3 linked regions of the Yarrowia lipolytica genome follow. The main gene of each other region encodes a partner of the protein of the gene in region 2 in a complex. Links are inferred from orthologs where the notes say so. Each region holds a gene or a part of one and is shown on either strand. Other genes may lie near its edges.

Region 1 (5,418 bases), on a different chromosome or scaffold from region 2:
GCAACGCCATGGGAGTGCCTGATTTCTCGGTCGATGGAGTCACCAAGAAACAATTCAAGACCTACCAGACGCTGCTGGCGGCTGGATTTGTCGGTTTCCTTGCCACAATGACCTTGTTGATTCGGTGGTAAACAAGGGGAACACAAGTGAGCGCATTACCAAAGTGAGAACTGCGTGAGCAGCACTTACTCTGTGAGCCCACGGTTATCACGCCGTAATCCACCAACCTGAACCCAGAGTGTTCGTCCAAAAGCTCGTGGGTAACACGCTCACTCGGAGTATATTTAAAATGTATTTAGTTGAAGTTGCATTAGTTGCTGGCCCGGGAGTTGCTGTCGGACCAGAATGAGTAAGATAGCAAGCACAAAGCAGTAGCTAACGTAGCTTGTACGCGTCTCAAGAACGTGTCAGGACTATATCTGCGTCTCTATAGGTTCGGTCAGGGGACACTATGTTGGGATTATCGGTGTCAGAGTTCTTTCTGCTGTCTCGAAGCTCAGATATGTCTCACTAATATTCAGCGAGAACCTGATGTGGCTAGATATGTGCGCGTGTGAGTACTGTACTTCTACTACTGTATGTACAATACTCTAGGCGCTTGAGTCCATGAATTGTGAAAGTATAGTGTACAAGGCATGTATAGACCGCTACCTCTTGCACACTTTTCGGTTTTATAATGCATTTTATAGATACGGATTACTGTCTACGGGTTGAGACAGGTCTTCTGGAGACTTTTTTTAATATCGGCCGCCTTGTGTGGACTTGATTTCAGCTCTCACTTGACCTGAATACCACACAATCTGGCGACGCAGCCTGCTAACTGCAGATATGTGGTGATTCCTTCGAGGATTCTCATGTGAGTGAAGCCAATCTCCTTAATGTACTCCAGCCGTAGCGCCTCGGGCACCTCCAGTGTCTTGGTGACTCGGAACATTGTGGAGATGATATCCTGGGCGCTGTATCCCTTGGTCCACAGCTGCTTGAGCGACTCGCATGCCTCGGTCACCTCACCCTTGCTGCAGGCATCCAACATGGATTTGACGACCACGGGATGGGGGGAGTCCACCACCTTCCAAACGTTGGAAGAGTTGACGAATCCGAATCCAGACACAGTTCCCTGCAAGTTATTGATCGCCTGACGCATATCTCCCTCCGCCGAGAAAATGAGAGCAGACAGGCCGTCGTCTGAGCACTGCACGTTTTCAGCCTCGACAATGTGCAGCAGTCGCTCGAGCACCTGTTCATTAGAGAGTCGGCCAAATCGAAGAATGGCGCATCGCGACTGAATGGCCTCAATGATTTTGTTGCTCTGGTTGCAGGCAAAGGCGAATCGAGTAGTATCAGAGTACAACTCCATGGTTCGTTTGAGCGCATTTTGGGCACCAGCAGTCATACTGTCGGCCTCATCCAGAATGATGATCTTGTGTTTACCAGGAGGCATGGTCACTTTCTTCTGGGCAAAGTTCTTGATCTTACCTCGAACCACCTCGATACCTCGATCATCTGAAGCATTGAGCTCCAGAACAGCGTCTTTGTACAGCTGGGGACCGAGAAGAGTACGCGCAAGACAATGCACGGAGGTGGTCTTTCCAATACCGGGGAGACCGGAAATCAACAAGTTGGGAATGTTTCCGTCCTTGGCCATGATCTTAAGTCGTTCAACGGTTTCTGTATGACCCACAACGTCGTCGAGATACATGGGTCTGTACTTTTCAACCCAGGGCAGCTCGAACTCGGGCTCTCCCTTTCGCTTTTTCGATGGTCCGGCTTCACTCATGTTGTGTAATATTAGTGTGTGCTGTGATGTGTCGTGTTGGACGTGATTTTTTAGCACTTGATTACTGTAATTTCGGCAGACGTGTATTAATTGAGTTCGCGATGCACGAGGGTTTGTAGGGTAGTTGGAGTGCTGGATACAATCAGGTTTCGCTAATAAATTGTCGCTGGAAGATAATAGGAAATGATTAATTTGACAGCGGAAAATATACTGCTCTTTTCAAATTTGGTTCTAGTAAAAAAAAGTGGCACTGTTTGGCCGACACTTGTGGTGCTTGTTCTGTTAGTCTAGTTCAGTTGTTTGTTGAGTGAAGTCAACTAATTGAATATACCGCTGCAGCTTCCTCGATGGTCATACAGTAGTAATTATTACACTCCACTCTGCGCAATGATGACACACAGAAACACCAACCACTATCCACAATCACATCATTCTATCATCTCTCAATTATTCATACAAATACATTTCATTAACTGCTTCTATACATATGAGCCCTGGCTCCAGTTGATGTGTATTGTGGGACCAGAGGTGCGGACAACTGTTCGATCTGCGCCATCTGGTGACATGATTAGATGTAAAACCTCCGAACAGACCATTCGCCCCGCTCGTGTTCCGGGCAATTATCACTCGCTTCGTTTATGATTAAATCACCTCGACAACCTCATCATCAGAGTCAACCTCCTTCACCTTGGCATCATCTCCAGCCTCCTTGGGCTCGTCCCGCATGAGCATCTGCACAACTCGGTCGCATCGCTCCTGGATGGTCTGGTCGTCGTGGTTCTTATGCAGCTCTCGAACAATAGGGTAGACGGATTTGGTTCGCATGTACTCTCGCATCTCCCGCGAAGTGGTCAGCAGCAGCAGAGACTCCAGATGAGTGCACATGATGTCGAGATCCTCCTCTCGTCGCTTGTCGGGCGTCAGCAGCTGCAGCTCTTCGGGCAGATCAAAGATCTCTTCGGGGTCCTCTAGGTCCTCAGGGCCCGCCAGGGGCAGCATGATGAAGGGCAGCAGGTTGATTTCGGGGTCAAGCACAAACTTGGAGTGCTTGTCGGTGTCAAACAGCGAGTTTTTGATTGTAGAAGCAACACCTTCTCGTCGGATTCGCGAGTCCACAAACTCGGTGAAGGGCAGCAGCTTCTGGATGGGGAACAGACCATCGTAGGGCTGCTCAGTGACAAAGTAGTCTCGACCTCGTCGGAATCGCGACAGATCGGCAAAGAAAAAGGCCAGGTAGTCGAAGTTGGAGAAGAGGTTGAGCTTGCCGGTAGCGCCCTTGACAAAGCAGTCCATGAGCGAATCGATGAGCTTTTCCGACTTGAACACCTCCGTGTTCTTGAGCTTCTTGGTGGCGTCGAAGATGGACACAATGTGGTCGTCCTTGGCCAGGTTGGCTAGCAGCATACAGCACAGATCGGCCTGCTTGTTCTCGAGATCGCAAATCTCGCAGGCAATCATGGCTACGAACATGGAGTTGGACGCCAGCATGTCGAGAATGTCTCTGTCATCGCATAGGTTGATGAGAATGGTCAGAGCGTTCTCCACATTGACTCTGGGGGTGCCCAGCATGACGGTGGCCACCAGATCCTTGACTCCCTGGTAGTCGTTGGCCTTGAACTGCTCGGCATGGCCCTGTGAGTAGCCCACGAGGGACTGTAGAGCAACCTGCTTGACGGCAGGGTGGTCGGAGTGCAGAAATTCGATTAGTTCTTGGAATTCGGAAGACATTGTGTGTGTTGTAGTTGTCTGGAAAACTTGGATTTATCGCAGTCTAATTTTGAAAATATATTTTTTGGGTTCATGGCACGTGACCCGGAAGGAGAAGGTAGTGTCAATAAATACGTTAATATGAATCCTATTGAGTGGGTGAAAACTTGAATCAAGTCTAAGGAGTCGCATGGACGTTTTGAAGTTGCCAATTACCAGATTTGAACTACGGAAGGCTTCGATACCAACACCCAAATATCTCCCCTCGCTAACTGATCAGAGTTTTGATGCCTGACCTGCATGGGTGGCAATGGTGGAAATAGATGGAATTTCTTGGAATTTTGTATTATCGCCTACGGATTGAAAAATGAGACAGCAGGAAGTGTTGCAGACTGGTAACGAACTCATCCCATGACTAGTATTGTCTCTATATGTGTTTGTCGTCTGACAAAAGTTTTTTTTTTTTTTTCTGCATATACATTCATTTAATTATAACTTTGCTGTGAAAGAATAACAAAAGAAGGCAGTTTGAGAGTCATTTGTTAAGTAATTACTTGAGACATTTACCGAAGTATAATTGGCGATTTAATTGAACATGGAAGTTGATATAGTCTCAGAGAAGCTGTATGTACTGGGGATAGGAGCAGGGGTGGGGGCGGTGGCACCTTTTATACCTGTATATCACACCCCCTAAATTCACTGCAACACCTATATCTAAACTCCGGGGAACATGGATCTACGTACATATCGTTTTCGTTGAGCGGGGGTGTCAGACGCATGTAGGCTGATAAGGGCGTGGAAAGTTTCCTGAATGAGAGCACCCCTCCGAGAAGAAGAGAGCAATTGTAGGCAATTATCGACCGAAAACCCACATAGGATGAAAAGCAGCCGTTGCGTAACGGGGTATTTAAACGTTCCTTATCTGTTTCAACTCTTCATATGAGTTCCAAGCCGCTCCACCCTCTAGTCTTCCCCCACCTTGCGCGTCGCATATTAAACTCCCGCTGCGGCTCGAGTGCGGAGATACCGTATGATAACAAAAGCCAATATATAATGCCTTGGAGTGGCATCGACGGTGTTGGCCAACTATCGTCGACAAAACCTGATTGCAACCTTCACCATGGTTCTCACATTCGAAATTGCTAGAGAGAAGTTCCTCAAGATCAGAGACGATTCCATTGCAGAGCTGGACAAAGTGTTTCCTCCACCCGAGGACTCGAGACATCATGAAGTTCCCGCAAAGTTGCCCAAGAACTCCATCCCCGTGTTCCAGGAGATGCTGGCCCATGACGATGCAGCTATCATCAATTCGGACCCAATCGAGCTGCTCGATCAGCTTGCTAAGGCCAAGGTATCGGCTGTGGCTGTCGCAGGAGCGTTCCTAAGAGCTGCTGTTATTGCCCAGACTCTCACAAACTGCCTGACGGAGCTGCTTCCTCGAGAGGCACTGGAAACTGCTCAGAAACTTGATGACTATCTAAAATCCACAGGAAAGCCCGTGGGTCCTCTACATGGACTTCCCGTGTCCGTCAAGGAGATGGTGGGCTTCAAAGGCCGAACCTGCCACTTTTCCGTGTCTTCCAAGATCAACAACATCACTCCGGACAATGCTATCATCCTTAAAGTACTCTACAAAGCCGGAGCTAACCCTTACTGTCGAATACCGGTCCCCAATTTCTCATGTCGCTGGAATCAGAGTCGCCTCTCCATGGAAAGACTTACAACCCCTATAACCGAGATCTCACGTCTGGAGGCTCATCCTCGGGTGAAGGAGCCATCGTCGGTCTTGGAGCGTCTGTTTTGGGTCTCGGAACTGACATTGGAGGCTCAATTCGAGGTCCAGCTGCTTGCTGTGGTGTCTATGGTCTTCGTCCGTCTGTAGGAAGAATTACAAACACGGGCTGTGATTATGTTATGCATGGAGCAGACTCGAT
Region 2 (9,373 bases):
CTCGAACCAAGCACCATAAGGTGTCAATCTATGGCCAGAGCCCCACCCCCATGCTTGTATTCTACGTGGACACTGAGGACCAGGCCGCCGAGTGGGTCGATGGTATCAACTGTCTCATTGGTAAGCCCATGTCCACCGAAAAAACCAAACAATACGTGACTCTTTTCACCGAAATGTCTCTTCGGGCACAAGTCATGGGCATTGGCCCCGAGGATAACGTCGAGTGTTCCCGAGTGGGAGCCCTTCCGATGTGGGCTGAGGCTTCTGACGCCTTCTACTATGTTTAATTCGATCCTATGTAATGACGTCAGGGTTAAACCTCATGTCTTCTGTGTTTATTTGCGTTCTCGTCTTGTATAAGCCTATGGTGGTGCGTTGAATGACATTATTTTGAAAGGTCATCCAGAGTATGTACAGTAGACTGTCGGCTTAAGTTATACTTCAGGTCAATACCTGCTGGAGATGGCTGTCCAGCTTCTACCATCCCAAATTCTCTAAGAGTAATACTACATATTGTAGGCCCATGCCTACCTTTTGATTTTTCATATTGCTGGAAATCGGAGCTGAGACTCCAGTCCATCTACAGTATTAATACCCGCAAAGGGCTCAATTTGTCTGCTGTAAACGTCAACAGTATGGTTGTATAGGACAGGAAACAAAAAGCACAGACTCCCATTGTTTTGGGGTTCTTCAAACATCGAGACAATACACATTACTGCGGACTGCATATCTATACAATAAATTCAACTATATACCATCCTTTTCTTCACTTTCGCTTACCCTTTCCCTTGGGCTTACCTCGCTTAGAGGCCTCCTTTCGATCGGTCTTGGTCTTCTTGTACATTCGGACCTCCTCGTTGTCTTTCTTCTTCTTCATCTTGTCCTTGTTGCTGGCTAGTAGATTTCGTTTGTCCGAGGTCTCATCAGCCTTCTTCTCTTGGGCATTCTGGAACCAAGTTCGCCGAGGTCGGGATGCAATCTCCTTCTCGTACTTGAGAAGGTTCTCTCCCTTTCGCACCTCCATCTCGGCCTGCAGCATGGCCTTCTCCTCCTTCTCCTCAGCCAGAATCTCGTTGACAATGTCACCCTTCTCCTCGATCTTGGAGTATAGCTTCTCGACCTCAGGCCAGTCCACGTTTCGGCCCACGGCCTTGCCCTGTTTACTCTCAGATACAGACTTGATAGCCTCGCGGACAATGGCTCTGTCAGCAGCAGCCTCCCCGACCAGAGTGATGGATCGACCTTCTCGTCCTGCTCGAGCAGTTCGTCCAACTCGATGCAGGTAGACAGCATGGGTCTGGGGCATGTCGTAGTTGACGACACACTCGATCTTGGGGATATCCAGACCTCGGGAAGCCAGATCGGTACAGACCAGAATGGGCACCTCCAGTTTTTTGAATGCTGTGATGGACTGCAGACGCTGCTCCTGAGACAGAGCTCCGTGCAGTTCTCCAATTCGGACTCCGAGCAGACCCAGCATGATTCGAAGACGATGCGCAGTCTCTTTTCGGGCCACGAAAATAATGGTTCGCTGCTCCTTGTCCATCTTCTTGAGGATGGAGGCCAGCAGAGCGGGCTTGAGATGGTCTCGCTTACGGATTCGAACAAACTCTTGCACCAGACCAGAAGCGGCCTGCTTGGGAGGGTTGATCATGACTCGAACGGGCCGAGAAAGAGACAGCTGAATAAGCGACGAAATGGACGAATTCATAGTGGCAGAGAAAAGCAGAGTCTGACGCTTCTTGGGAAGCAGTGTCAGAATCTCGGTCAGTTCCTGTTGGAAACCCTCCTCCAGCATTCGATCAGCCTCATCAATCACCAGAATCTCGACATCGTCAACGTTGAACGAGGGAGAGTTTCGAACATGATCAATAAATCGACCGGGGGTAGCAATGACAACCTCGGGTCGCGTCTTGAGCTCCTGCTCCTGAACTCGAAGGTTCAGACCACCGACAGCCAGACCGAATCGCACGCCAGAAACATACTGTGCGAGCTTCTTACCAACATCGGCGACCTGAATGGACAGCTCTCGAGTGGGAGTCAGAACCACAACCTTAGTGGCTGCGACCTTGGAGGACTTGTAGAGAAGACGCTCCAAAACAGGAATGATGTACGCAGCAGTCTTACCAGAACCAGTGACGGCACCAGCAACCAGATCCTTGCCCATGAGAGCAATGGGGATGGTTCTGCTCTGAATCGGAGTGGGGGCCTGGTATCCCAGAGCAGAAATACCCTTCATGACGGGTCTAGACAGATTCAGAGTCTGAAAGGTTTTGTGCACAGACTCAGTCTTATCGTTGTTCTCCTCCTCGGGAGCGTAGAATGCAGCCATCTCCTCGGCAGTGTCCTGGGGTCCCTCGTCGATGGCAGGGCCTTTATGGTCATCCAAAACCAAATCATCGGGGTGCATACACTCCTCAGCCTCGGAGTCGCTTCCATCAGAGTCCTCCTCCTCTTCATTCTCAACCTCTTCTTTGTTCTCCTCGTCCTCGTCCTCAGGCTCATCCATGTCCTTTCCGGGCTGGACTCCTCCTCCGAAACCATCAATGGCCAGATCATCTTCGTTCTCCTCCATCTTAACGTCTGTCTCGGCCTCGTCCTCGTCCTCGTCCTCGTCCAGAAGGCCTCCTTTTCTCTTGATAATGCTGTCCAAATCAACTTCTCGCTTCTGGACCTTGTTGTCGTCCTTGGACACCTCAAAGTTCCAGCCGTCCAGACCTTCAGAGGTGGCAGCAAATCCGTCCAGCGAAAACTGGAAGTCGGGGTTGATGCCGGCCTTGGCAGCCTGCTTTTCTCGCTCCAGTAGCTCCTCGTCGGCTTCACTGAGTTTTTGCTTCTTCTGCTTCTTTGTCAGCTTGACAGGCTTCTCCTCCACCTCTTCCTTCTCGTCTGCACTCTCCTCCTCCAGATCTTCACCGTCGGAATCTAGAGTCATGACAAAGTCGTCCTTTACTTTGGAAATCATGGCAGCCGATTGTTTGGACTTAGTAGCCTTCTTGACCGGTTTGGTCACTTTTCCCTTGACCATTTTTGTGTGTGTTATTTGCGTGCTGGTTTGAAATAGGGTGGATAATTTATTTCTGCATGGACATATTTTTCCAATAAACTCTGGATGCATTAATGACGCACAGTCATGTGATTGACGTTAGGAGGAGGGTGAGGGAGTGAGTGTTGCAGTAGAAGTACGAGTACATACTGTAGAGGGTTATAACTTGATGAATCTTGGCTGAAGTGTCAATGTGAACAGATTTTATGACCATCAAGCCATTACAATTGATCACTAATAGTCATATAATCCAAATCTGTTCTTTAATCTGTTATTACATTGTTCACCTTACGAAGTCCACCTGCCATCACACGCAGCAAGCCAGCATGTGGGTACAATAATTGCCCACAATACAAGAACAACTCATTTCACGATCATTAAATTGCATAGATAAACTGCTTCAACAACCTCTTACCTGTGATTATTTTTCATCACTTATTGTAGTCACAATATACAGTAACCTCTCTGTTGTAATTACTCCCCTGCCTCTTCTTTCGCCTCTCCCAACCGCAGCACTGCAAAACGCGTCAACACGAAGCTTTCCATTTATCACCACTGGAACGCAGTGCAAAAAAAATGCCTCCCAAAGATATCCGCAGTTTCTTTGGAGCCCAAAAGACCAAGGCGCCGGCCAAGTCCAATGACGTGAGTACCAATTGCACTGCCCATCTGTTTTGATTCACGCAAAAACCACTAACATAGAAACGGCCAGCCACCACGTCTGTGGACGAAGAGAGAAAGCCCAAAAAGGTCAAACAGGAGGTCAAACAGGAGATTAATTCCGAGCCCGAGAAGTCGCCCGTCAAGCCAAAGATTCCCGCAAAGCCCAATCCCACTGCTAAGACCAAGTCTCCTGCCAAACCTGCTCCCAAAAAGCGGACAATCCAGATTGACGATTCTGACAGCGAAGATGGAGAGGCCCCTTATGAGATAGATATGGACAGCGACGACGGGTTTGTGGACGACGATGATTTGCCCGTGAAACCTGTGCAGCGACGAACACGACGATCGGGGCCAGTCAAGGATGACGATGTGATTGAGATTGATGAGGACGACAATGTGGTCAAGAAGCCACCTCCCAAGGCAAGCGTATCAAATAAGGGCCCAATCATTGACTATGACGATCTCGATGACGACGATCTCGAGCAAATCAAGCGTGCTCCTAAAAAGGCTGCCCCCAAGCCCAAGGCTGCTCCAACGGCCGCCCCCAATGCTCGATCCGCACCTGGAGGGGCTACAGCAGAGTCTGTACTAGCGCAATTACCCGACGCCGAGCTTCCCGAGGTCGAGGAGGGGAAGAAGTTCAACTTCCGAGAGCATCTGGCCAAGAACACGGCCACTGGAAGTGGAGAAGGAGGAGGAGCAGTGGAGCTTCCTGAGGCGGCCGAAAACTGTCTGGTGGGCCTCACGTTCGTTTTCACTGGCACCATGCCCAACTTGTCGCGAGAAGAGGGTCAGGCCGCAGTCAAAAAGTACGGAGGTAAGGTCACTTCTTCCATTTCTGGTAAGACCAACTGTGTTGTTCTGGGAGAAGATGCCGGACCCAAGAAGATTGAGCAGATCAAGAAGCTCAGAACCAAGGCTCTGGATGAAGCTGGTTTCTTGGAACTGCTCAGACTCATGCCTGCTGACGGTGGAGGGGGTGCTGCTGCTGAAAAGGCGCTAGCTAAGCAGGCAGAAGAGGCCGACAAGATTGCTGCTGAGAGCGCAAAGATGGCTGCTGAGATGGCGGCGCGAGAAAAGAAGGAGAAAGCTGCATCCAAGAAGGCGGACGCTTCTGGAGCCCCTCGGGCTGTGTCTATGGATGACCAGCTGTGGACAGTCAAATACGCCCCCAACAACCTGAATCACGTTTGCGGAAACAAGGGAGCGGTGACCAAGCTACAAAACTGGCTCAACAACTGGCACGACAATGCCAAACATGGATTCAAGCAGCCTGGAAAAGATGGATTTGGCATTTATCGTGCTGTTCTGCTGTCTGGTCCCCCTGGAATCGGTAAGACTACTGCTGCGCATCTGGTGGCCAACCTTGCAGGCTATGATGTGATTGAGAACAACGCCTCGGATGTGCGATCTAAAAAGTTGCTTGCTCAGGACGTTTCTTCAGCTCTCACAAACACCTCCATCATGGGTTTCATGAGCTCAGCGAAGTCTTCCAAAGAGAAGAAGATCTGTATGATCATGGACGAGGTCGATGGTATGTCTGCTGGTGATCGAGGAGGTGTGGGCCAGATGGCTGCCCTGTGTCGAACTACTGAGGTGCCAATCATCCTCATCTGTAACGACAAGGGTCTTCCTAAGATGCGTCCATTTGACAGAGTGACTCTGGACATTCCTTTCCGACGAATGGACCCCAAGGCTATCCTAGCACGAATGATGACCATCTGTCATCAGGAGAAGATCAAAATTTCAGCTCCTGTTTTGGAGCAGGTCATTGCTGGCTGCAACTCAGATATTCGTCAGATCATCAACTTGCTGTCGACTTATGCTCGAAACCAGAATGAGGGTGGTCTTGATATTGAGTCTGGTAAGAAGATGACCCAGTCATGGGAGAAGAATGTGGTTCTGAGTCCCTTTGATATCACTGGAAAGCTGCTTTCCGGAGGCCTATGGGCTCCTTCCTCCAAGGCCACTCTCAATGACAAGATTGAGCTTTATTTCAACGATCACGACTTTGTTCCTCTCATGATCCAGGAAAACTATCTCAACGTGCAGCCTAGTGGAGGAGGCGACAACAAGGAGCGTTTGAGGAAGACGTTGGCTGCTGCTGAGTCCATATCTGATGGTGATCTTGTTGATAAGATGATTCATGGCTCCCAGCAGCACTGGTCTCTGATGCCTTTGCATGGGTTCCTGAGTGCGGTTAGGCCTGCTTCTTTCGTTGCCGGCCAGGCCCGAGGACGATTCAACTTCACGTCCTGGCTGGGTCAGAACTCCAAGGGAGGAAAGCATCTTCGAGCTCTCCAGGAGCTTCAGAGTCATGCTGGATACAAGACTTCGGGCAACTCTCGAGAGCTGAGACAGCAGTACTTGCCTTTGATGACTCGAAAGCTTCTTGACCCACTTTTGGCTAAGAAGGCAGAGGGAGTTCCTGAGGTGATCGATTTCATGGACTCGTATTATCTCACCCGAGAGGATTGGGATGCTATCATGGAGATGGGTGTTGGTCCTGACAGTGGAGAAGAGCGTATGAAGAAGCTCGAGACTCAGACCAAATCTGCCTTCACTCGAAAATATAACACTTCGTCGCATCCCGTGCCCTACATAAAGTCTGGAACTGCCATGGACATGAAGGCGTCTAAGGCCCAACCTGATTCGGGAGACGTGGTTAATGAGGAGGTGGAGAAGGAAGAGGAAGAGGATGAAGAAGACATTTCGAAGGACAAGTACATCAATCAGCCCAAAAAGAAGGCTGCTCCTAAGAAGGCTGCTCCCAAGAAGACACCTGCCAAGAAAGCTGCCCCCAAGAAGGCTGCTGCTAAGAAAAAATAGCCTGTCCTGTTACTACTGTGTATGTATTTAGACGCAATTGATTTATATGAAATACATCCTAATGAAATTTTTGAGCGTATTCTATTGTCGTTATTCGTTAATCATTAATCGTGTTGTGGTGTCATAACTTGTAGGGGGTATGCTGTCTGATATTCGCTGCAGTACTCAAAATCAGAGACAGATTCTGGCAATATGAAAGATGGCGTGTCAAAAGACATGTCAAAAGGTCCGTAATCGCGTCTTGGTGTCGTAGCGATTAACTCCTCTCTTGTTGCATTCGCCTCACTTTAACCTCCAGCTCCTTGGACCACTCGTCCACCTCTCCAACTAGCTTCTCCAGAGTATCGAGGTGGCCACGGACCTGTTTGAGCTGGTCCACGTACCTTGCGTTCTCGTTGTTCAGACCTTCGAGGTACTCTCTATCGTTTTCGAGGCCCTTGGTCGACTCGGCAAGTTGCTTGTACTTGTGTGTCTGTTTGCGATTCACCACCTCCAGCGAGTCTAGCCACGTGACTGTGTAGTCTGTCTGGGCGTCGATCAGGTTTTCCGCAGCCTTGACGGTTTTCTCCATGGTGAATCACTGGGTCAACATGCCTGTGGTGGTGAGCTTACCCATATGCATGCTGTTAATTAAGTTGGTGCTGTTTGGAATTGTCGAGGGTGAATATGTCACGTAAGAAAACAGGATGATATTAGTGAAGCCACCGCTGGTTAACGATTCAGATCCCATAAACATAGCTAGACATTAATTCTTCTCTCTTCAAAACCGTTACAACAGGTATTGTACCAGTTTCAAAGCCAGGTTAGGGTTGGGAGCTGGAGAGGATGTCTATCTCTTTGATGTTGTGGGTTTGCTTGTACAAGTACTGCGTTGAGCCAACTACTGTAAGTCAGCCTGTGCCTCATCCTATTAGAAATAGTCGCATTCCACGTCATTCTTATCATTTCAAACACCCAGACCAAACTTGCAAGCAGCCCTACAGTATTTCAAAATGTACTGTACAGTATAGAGTTCAATCATCTTACACGGAAATTCAATTTCATTTCACGAGTAATTCCGACACCACACACATCACACACTATGGGAATGTTCTGGAACAGGAATCCCAAGGAGGAGCCTGCCACGGCTGCCGTTCAGGAGCAGGTGTCGACTTCCGCGCCTGCCGAAGCAGCTGCTGCTCAGGCAAAGGCCAAATCAGACGACGATGACTACGAGGCCATGTTTGGAGTCAAAGCCTCGGAGCTGCTGGGTGTCTATAAGCCAAAGCCCAAGAAGGTGTCTTCTGAGGAGCAGAGCTCTAAAAAGACCGAAAAAGATCCGTTAGAGGTGCCGACTTTGCCGGAGGGACCCAGGAACATGCGTGTCTATTTCCCCGAGGAAATGTCGTGTTGGGAGGCGTTCAACGAGGTGGTGGCATGTTACTCTGTGGGCGGCCAGGTGCGAAACTTGTACCGGTTCGGCTCTCTAAATTACTGCGATAAGCCCAAGGACAAGTGGAAGTTTTGCATGGGCGTCAAGCTGGATCCCGAGGAGATCAAGAAGGCCAAAATAAAGCAGTTCTACATGAAGCAGCTGGCTGAGAAGATGACCGGCGGTTCTTCCGAGGATATTTGGGAGCGACGATAGCGTGCTTTTAGTGGGGCGAAATATAAGCGGCTACTCTGGCATTGTGGGTGTGAGACGAGTGTTCGTGGATCAGGGGCTCACTTGTATATAGACTAAAGATTGATATGGACGACGTGATGGATATGTCGACGTACTTTTAGAATTGCAATATCGTGTGTAAACAACTCACAGACGTGCAAATCACTCCCACAGCACCTACACAACCACATCTACAGTATGGTATGTACAGTAGATCAATGGTATAGTCTTAGTACAACTACTGGTACCACAGCAAGTGCAAGTGCCGCAGCTACTGTAGCTCCGGCAAGCATACCAAGAGTCCAAAAGACTGAGTGGTGTGTTTATTTTGTCGCAGTTTCCAGCCGTATAAGTGGTATCTACTATTTGTCCATCATCATCCTACAGTATATTCGAACGTCATGGTCCGAGTAGCCTATGCATCTTCATGTCGAAGTGGGAGGCGACCCCTGACATATCCCTCAGATCTCCATTTCACAGACGGGACCATTTGGCTGTTTAACTCATACAATTGTAGTGATATTCCTACACTTGCTCTCCAACCATGCTGTCCTACTGTACCGTGTGCCAACCACCTGGTCCCTTACTGCTTTACTCAGATGGCGGAAGGAGTACAGACATATTAAGGAGCAATATTGTGCTACAAGTAGCTACTGCAATTGAGAAAGTATGGCATTATGTAATTACTAAATCTACAAGTAGTTATTTCATGCTGATTGTGACTATGATTATCTTTTCCATGTATTGAAATGCTTCCATTTGTGGTAATCTGCTACAATACTACAATACTGCAAACAGTAGCTCGGCACAAAAAAAAAAAAAAACCTTGTGTACACTCACTGACAGTAATAAGATGCTACATGCGACTTCTTCGTACGTACTGTATGTCTACTCACAATGGCATGATGAGTGATACACGCCATTGTTCGAGTCCTCTTGTCTCTCAGAATACCCCCAACATGTTTAGATCGACTAGAGGTGCGTGCACGTACTGCTGCCATGTACGTTCTTGTCCAGTTCGCCCCTGGGAACTGTCGATCTCTACAGCCGCCCCTATATTGGGATATAGAGCCCGATGCGGTGCCTGGACATCTCGTATCCACTATCACATGGTGTTTCAGCTCGCTTACAGGGTTGCATGCGACTGAGTGACAGACTGAGGCATGTGAAGTACATATCAGACTTCTGTC
Region 3 (5,426 bases), on a different chromosome or scaffold from region 2:
GGCCTATATGTTGATATTTTTTGGTGGCGAGGCGTAGATATGGTGGTATCGGTGTATTTGAGGGGGGATTGAGAGCAGATCGGCACTGTTGGTCACAGAAATATTGCAGGAGATGAGCTATTGCTGTGTCTGTCAGATACAGCAATAGCTTGCTTGGTATCCACTGAGATTAGGTCTAAGATGAGAAGGAGATGGAGCAAGGATTGGTGGTCAATGTCTATGTGATATAGAATTCGAGTATTGGACTACGTACAGCGTCTTACAGGTTGTACACTGTGGTACGGCGGCCTGTACAAGTAGGCACTGTACCTACAGTGTACAGTACATACACTGGGAACGAATACTGCACTCGAAGATGAACATTGTCTACAGATTGGTTGCACTCCGGTGAGAAGAAATGTTCCAGCACATATACTTGTACTCCACCGTCGTATAAAAGTATCTGAAATTGTTTTCCGTCTTGGATCTGTGAATGAAGCGAGTCGCTTTACGGAATCAAGTCGAGTCGCTGTACAGAATCTAGTCGCTGTACAGAATCGAGTCGCTGTATAGTAGACTGTAGCTATCGTATGTATAGCACATAGTGTTCCTAAGAACTCGCTAAGGTATCCTGAACAGCTTTCTCAATCTCCGACAAACGGTAGCTTCCCAGGCGGACTCGTGCAGCGGCCCTTTGGCTCGTTTGTCCTGCTCTACATTGTCGCCCACACCATATATCTAAATGTATTGCCTGGAAGTCTTGAACTCCATCTATAAATCTATGCTACCACAAGACCACAAACAGGAACGACACTGCCATCAGGGCGACGGACAGCGTCACTGCTCGCGCGCCGTCCAGAAAGTAGACTGCTCCAAGATACGAGCATGTGATATCTCCGTCGTCTGATCGCAGCCCGTAACTGAGCTCTCTATTTCGATGCTGTTTGGGACACTGGAAGCCCAAAGAAGCGTCACAGTCCTGCACAATCTTCTGACACAGGTCCAGACACGGCAGGATCTCCTTGTACCGTCCGGGCTTGAGAACGCGATCAATGAGGGCGTTTCGTGAAGTGCCAGGAGGCCGTTCTTGTAAATAGGTTGCGTTGTTGGACCAGTCCGCACACCGAGGAATGGTCACGGCACAAAGCCACTGCTTGTATGAGTCAGCACAGTCGTCGCACGACTTGAGAATGGAGTATCTCGAGTCCAGCGACGCGTTACAGGCGACAATCTGTTGTGAGTAGGTGAAGTTTTGCCACCATTTGGAGGCGTTATCGTCGTATAATTTAGCTAGTTCCTGTGAGTCCACCATGGACGAGTTTCCTGGAACCGCGTACGCCACATCAGAGCAAAAGTCCAAATCGTAGACCAGCTGGCAATTGTCTGATGTCTTGGAGGAGAACCACACTTGGTCGTAAACGGTGCCTCCTGGCGTGTTTGAGTTGGGTTTGGTTAGCACAGCAAGGTAGGGGGTAGAGTTGTTCAGCCCCTTCATGAAAAATTGCTGCTTGTAGTAATGTCCGAGACCTCGCCGGGTGTACGAAACATCGCAGTTACCCGAGTTGAGCACAGATGGGCCCTTTTGGATGGCACAATACGAGTTGGAGAGCCACCACAGCTGCATTTCGTTCTCCATGGGGAACGCAGTAATGTCGTAGATGGCGTTTTTGATATCAACAATGTAATGGTCCGATGTGGCGTTCTGGGGATCGGTTGTCAGGTTGCCCGTCACAAATAATGCATGGTTGTAGTCGGAGTCGACCAGATAGAGGTTCGGTGTGTCCTTGAAGGAATAGAGAGGCGCTTCCCATGAAACCCCCAGCGAGTATGTGAAGTCTCCAGGCTGAGTGGCCTGTCCTGCGACCGACGTGGGAGCCGCAGGTTTGGATACTCCGTTATTAGAAACATCGCTGGGGGCAGCAGTAACCACCTCATCTCCATCGTCCGAGCCTCCTTGGGGCGCCTTGTCCTCATCCTTGTCCTCATCCTTGTCCTTCCGCTTGGTGAGCTTGTCCTTCTTGAGCTCTGCGTGTTTTACTTGACGTTTGTCGACATTGTTGACATCTGAGTCGATCTTGGTCAGTGCACTGGTGTCGAACGTCATGTTGCTGAAATCCAGCTGAATGTAGAGGTTCGTCACCTGCACCGCACTAACATCAATCGTCAAGTTGGCGAATCCAAACTCGAAGTTGTCCATGGAAAAGACAATGTTCTGCGGGTTCCATCCAGCCTTGAGTAATGCAGGGGCTGTGTAGTCGTAGTCCATGGACATGTTTTTGTAGTTGAGGTTAGGTGGACCGGCACAGATGTTGGCGGTGATGTAAATCGTCTTGGCGTTGGCAGGAATGTCCGTCAGATTGTAGATACGTGTATCGTTCAGTTTCATCACGTAGTCCACGGGCTGGTTGTTGGCGATGGGAGTGGCCACCACCGGCGTGGTGCCGGTCGGCTGGTTGTAATTGGGCACTGTTGACGCCGTGAACAGATTTGTGGACTCTGTGTGCGTCGTAGTACTCGAGGTGGTCGTCATCACCGAGCTCGGAGCCTTGGCCCGGTTCTCGACCACCCGTCTCCACAGGTCGTTGCCGAGATGCTGGAACGGCAGGAGCAGCTCGGGCGTGCCGAGCGAGTCGTCGTCGGTCACGTTGCCCAGAAACGCCCGGACCAACGTGACCGCCAACCCCAGAATTAGGATCCACAGACGCATGCTGGGTGGTGGAGAAGAGCCTGAAAGGTGCAAGGTAGCCTACGTGCACATCACGTGCCGGGCTGTACAACACTGGGGATGCTAACTACGTAACTCTACACAGGGCGGACCCAAAGCTGCCCGATAACGTGGTAAAGACGAGGTGTTTTTTACTCAAGCAGGCGCGCCACTGAGCGTGCGGACGATTCGATGCACAAGGTCGTATTCTCAACGCCAACTTGTACTGTCTTCTTCATGTCTTACCATCTCTCCTTGAAAAAAAAGAGTTTGTCCAACAACCGTTTTTAAGCCGCACGTGGTGTTCCGACTGAAAAATGAAAAATACTGGGGGAACAGAGTGTGCAGCGGTAGTTTGACGAGTAGACGACGCGATGATAGCAGGAGTTCGGGAGAGATAGCTGTTAGATGGAGCAACTAGAGTCTCCGTTACAAGTTTTTGACACCTTTCTACGCCGTTTCGGTCCCCGATATTCGCGCTTTACCGACCCAATGACGTCACAATATTTCGATAACCTTGATTGTCTCTGATAGTGGGCGAGAATGAAAAAAAAGGGTAGGCGTTTATCTCGACCAATGGGGCGGATATGGTGAGAGTTGAGACACAGATTGTGAGGGATGAGACAAATATCTGTTATTTATTGAAAGTATTCGATTCGTCATGTTTCTCCTATATTTTTCGACTATTTCCGTCGTCTCTATTCGGTTTTAAAACTTCGACCAGTGTTAAGGATACTCAACTATTTCCCAACGACACCTGCAGTACCTACTTGACGTTTACTCACTGCCGGCTTAAAAATATTATAAGAAAAAAAAACACCACATGCATGTAAAACTTCAAATTGAAACGCGTCCAGCACACACAGATCAACACTACTACACACACAGAAAATGTCCGCTAACATGGAGGGATTCGAGGAATCGCGAAAGGGCAAGGAAATTGCTGTCGACACCATCAAGCCCGGAAAGGATCATCTGCCCTGGGTCGAAAAGTACCGACCCGACACTCTGGACGATGTTACAGGCCACGAGGGAGTAGTGACCACGCTCAAAAAGTTGCTGGCCAACAAAAAGTTCCCGCATCTGCTGTTTTACGGTCCTCCCGGTACCGGAAAAACGTCCACCATTCTTGCGGTGGCGCGAGAGATCTACGGACCCAGCTACAAGAGCATGGTGCTGGAGCTCAACGCGTCCGACGACAGAGGAATCGACGTGGTGCGAGACCAGATCAAGGTGTTTGCCAGCTCGCGGCAGATTTTCCAGCGTGGTGGCGAAGAGAATGCGCGATCCAACTTCAAACTGGTCATTCTGGACGAGGCAGATGCCATGACCAACGTGGCTCAGAACGCCCTGCGACGAGTCATTGAGCAGTACACCACCCATACCCGATTTTGCATTCTCGCCAACTACACACACAAGCTGAACCCCGCGCTGCTATCGCGATGCACACGGTTCCGATTCAGCCCTTTGCCCGAGGCAGCCATCGACAAACGAATCATGCAGGTCATTGACGCGGAAAAGGTCAAGATTGCGCCCGACGCCAAGGCAGCGCTGCTGGAGCTGTCCAAGGGAGACATGAGACGGGCTCTCAACGTGCTGCAGGCGTGCCACACGGGTCTGGAGCACCCTGGAAAGGACACAATCACTCTTTCACAAGTATACTTGTGTGTTGGGTCGCCTGACCCAGCAGACATTGACACCATTCTGACTTCGATCCTGAACGACGACTGGACCACAGCTTACGACACCGTTTCCACTCTGAAACGAGAACGAGGTCTGGCACTGGTGGACATTCTGGAGAAGCTGTCCGCTGAACTGATGGCACTCAATCTGAAGGAGAAGACCAAGATTGCACTCTTGTCCAAGCTTGCCGACATTGAGTACCGGTTGGCCAACGGAGGCTCCGAGAAGATCCAGACCAGTGCTGCTATCGGTGTTATTAAGGACTCTATGGAGTTGGAGGTTTAAGAGAGTGCGGACATTGGCAGAGAAGAAGCGTCATCAGAGAAAAGGCGTCATCAGATCATAGAATAAGTGCTTCCAGTGCTGTGTGCTTCCAATGCACGTGTTTCTCTCAGATCGTTTTCAACACGTATATACAGTAATCGAAAAATTGACGAATATGAGGCAGGTTGGTATGTCTTGAGATCCATGGGAATCTGTCCAGACCTACATAGGGACTTTATCGTACACCTCTAAACGCCTATAATTGTAGATGAAGCATTGGCACTGTTACTTGTGTTACGTCTTGTGATGGTCCGTTGCGATCCTCCCTGTTGTTTTGTTGATAATTAGTTAAGAAAAGGTTTATATTTATCTCATTTTTAGCTGAACACATTTGTATTCTCTAAACCACAGTTAACACTATGCTCTAGTTTACTTAGATGTTGGTTAAGAGCAGACAGCTCACCCAGAGCAGAAAACCGCATGTTCGTAGACCAATAACGACTGGATTGCAGGGAATCACGTGACAATGTACATTATGTCTAATTTCCTGCTTTGTGACCTTCAGACTCCGTTTAACGGCCCTTTTCATGACGCGGTGATATGTTTTTGGTTCACATGTCATCCATCTCATCTCATCTCTACGACCCTGCGGCTCAACAATGCAACCCGGACAAAGTTCGGACCCCACATTTTCGATCTCCACACTTGATCTACACACTTGATCTCATCACTCCGATACCACCCGATGAAAAAGGTAGACAACGGGCCCAAGGCGCAGGTGTGGTTTATCTGCAAC

What was found. The genes of interacting proteins can lie anywhere in the genome.
Region 1: the proteins of YALI1_B22020g (region 2) and YALI1_F10688g are in contact, whole or in part, in a crystal structure (PDB 1SXJ), measured with the Saccharomyces cerevisiae proteins. The link is inferred for Yarrowia lipolytica from reciprocal best matches to the Saccharomyces cerevisiae genes RFC1 and RFC4. Residues at the interface, in NP_014860.1 of Saccharomyces cerevisiae: Asp295, Lys296, Leu297, Val300, Pro355, Gly356, Thr360, His364, Glu376, Asn378, Ala379, Ser380, Asp381, Val382, Asp424, Glu425, Asp427, Gly428, Ser430, Gly432, Asp433, Asn456, Asp513, Arg515, Gln516, Asn519, Thr526, Thr527, Thr528, Lys529; in NP_014547.1 of Saccharomyces cerevisiae: Glu28, Thr29, Arg32, Gln35, Ile36, Asp39, Asn41, Met42, Pro43, His44, Met50, Ile86, Arg90, Lys94, Pro105, Gly106, His108, Gly122, Gln125, Ala126, Arg128, Arg129, Thr130, Glu132, Ser135, Asn136, Arg139, Asn145, Ser147, Asn148.
Region 3: the proteins of YALI1_B22020g (region 2) and YALI1_A02461g are in contact, whole or in part, in a crystal structure (PDB 1SXJ), measured with the Saccharomyces cerevisiae proteins. The link is inferred for Yarrowia lipolytica from reciprocal best matches to the Saccharomyces cerevisiae genes RFC1 and RFC3. Residues at the interface, in NP_014860.1 of Saccharomyces cerevisiae: Glu635, Gln636, Trp638, Ser639; in NP_014109.1 of Saccharomyces cerevisiae: Asp120, Met122, Thr123, Asn124, Ala125, Gln127, His151, Lys152, Leu153, Pro155.

The regions. Positions count from the first base shown.
Region 1 is NC_090775.1:1,065,238-1,070,655, reverse strand, and holds YALI1_F10688g (uncharacterized protein), read right to left. Parts: upstream 1,778-5,418; coding exon 776-1,777; downstream 1-775. Other genes in the region: YALI1_F10713g (uncharacterized protein), read left to right, coding at 1-131; YALI1_F10671g (uncharacterized protein), read right to left, coding at 2,420-3,505; YALI1_F10660g (uncharacterized protein), read left to right, coding at 4,605-5,366; YALI1_F10652g (uncharacterized protein), read left to right, coding at 5,399-5,418. UniProt on the Saccharomyces cerevisiae protein: Component of ATP-dependent clamp loader (RFC and RFC-like) complexes for DNA clamps, such as the POL30/PCNA homotrimer and the checkpoint clamp DDC1:MEC3:RAD17 complex.
Region 2 is NC_090771.1:2,198,476-2,207,848, forward strand, and holds YALI1_B22020g (uncharacterized protein), read left to right. Parts: upstream 1-3,622; coding exon 3,623-3,691; intron 3,692-3,748; coding exon 3,749-6,538; downstream 6,539-9,373. Other genes in the region: YALI1_B21966g (uncharacterized protein), read left to right, coding at 1-287; YALI1_B22015g (uncharacterized protein), read right to left, coding at 767-3,118; YALI1_B22055g (uncharacterized protein), read right to left, coding at 6,795-7,109; YALI1_B22060g (uncharacterized protein), read left to right, coding at 7,620-8,165. UniProt on the Saccharomyces cerevisiae protein: Component of the ATP-dependent clamp loader RFC complex for the POL30/PCNA homotrimer DNA clamp.
Region 3 is NC_090770.1:244,320-249,745, reverse strand, and holds YALI1_A02461g (uncharacterized protein), read left to right. Parts: upstream 1-3,574; coding exon 3,575-4,651; downstream 4,652-5,426. Other genes in the region: YALI1_A02470g (uncharacterized protein), read right to left, coding at 764-2,686; YALI1_A02443g (uncharacterized protein), read left to right, coding at 5,376-5,426. UniProt on the Saccharomyces cerevisiae protein: Component of ATP-dependent clamp loader (RFC and RFC-like) complexes for DNA clamps, such as the POL30/PCNA homotrimer and the checkpoint clamp DDC1:MEC3:RAD17 complex.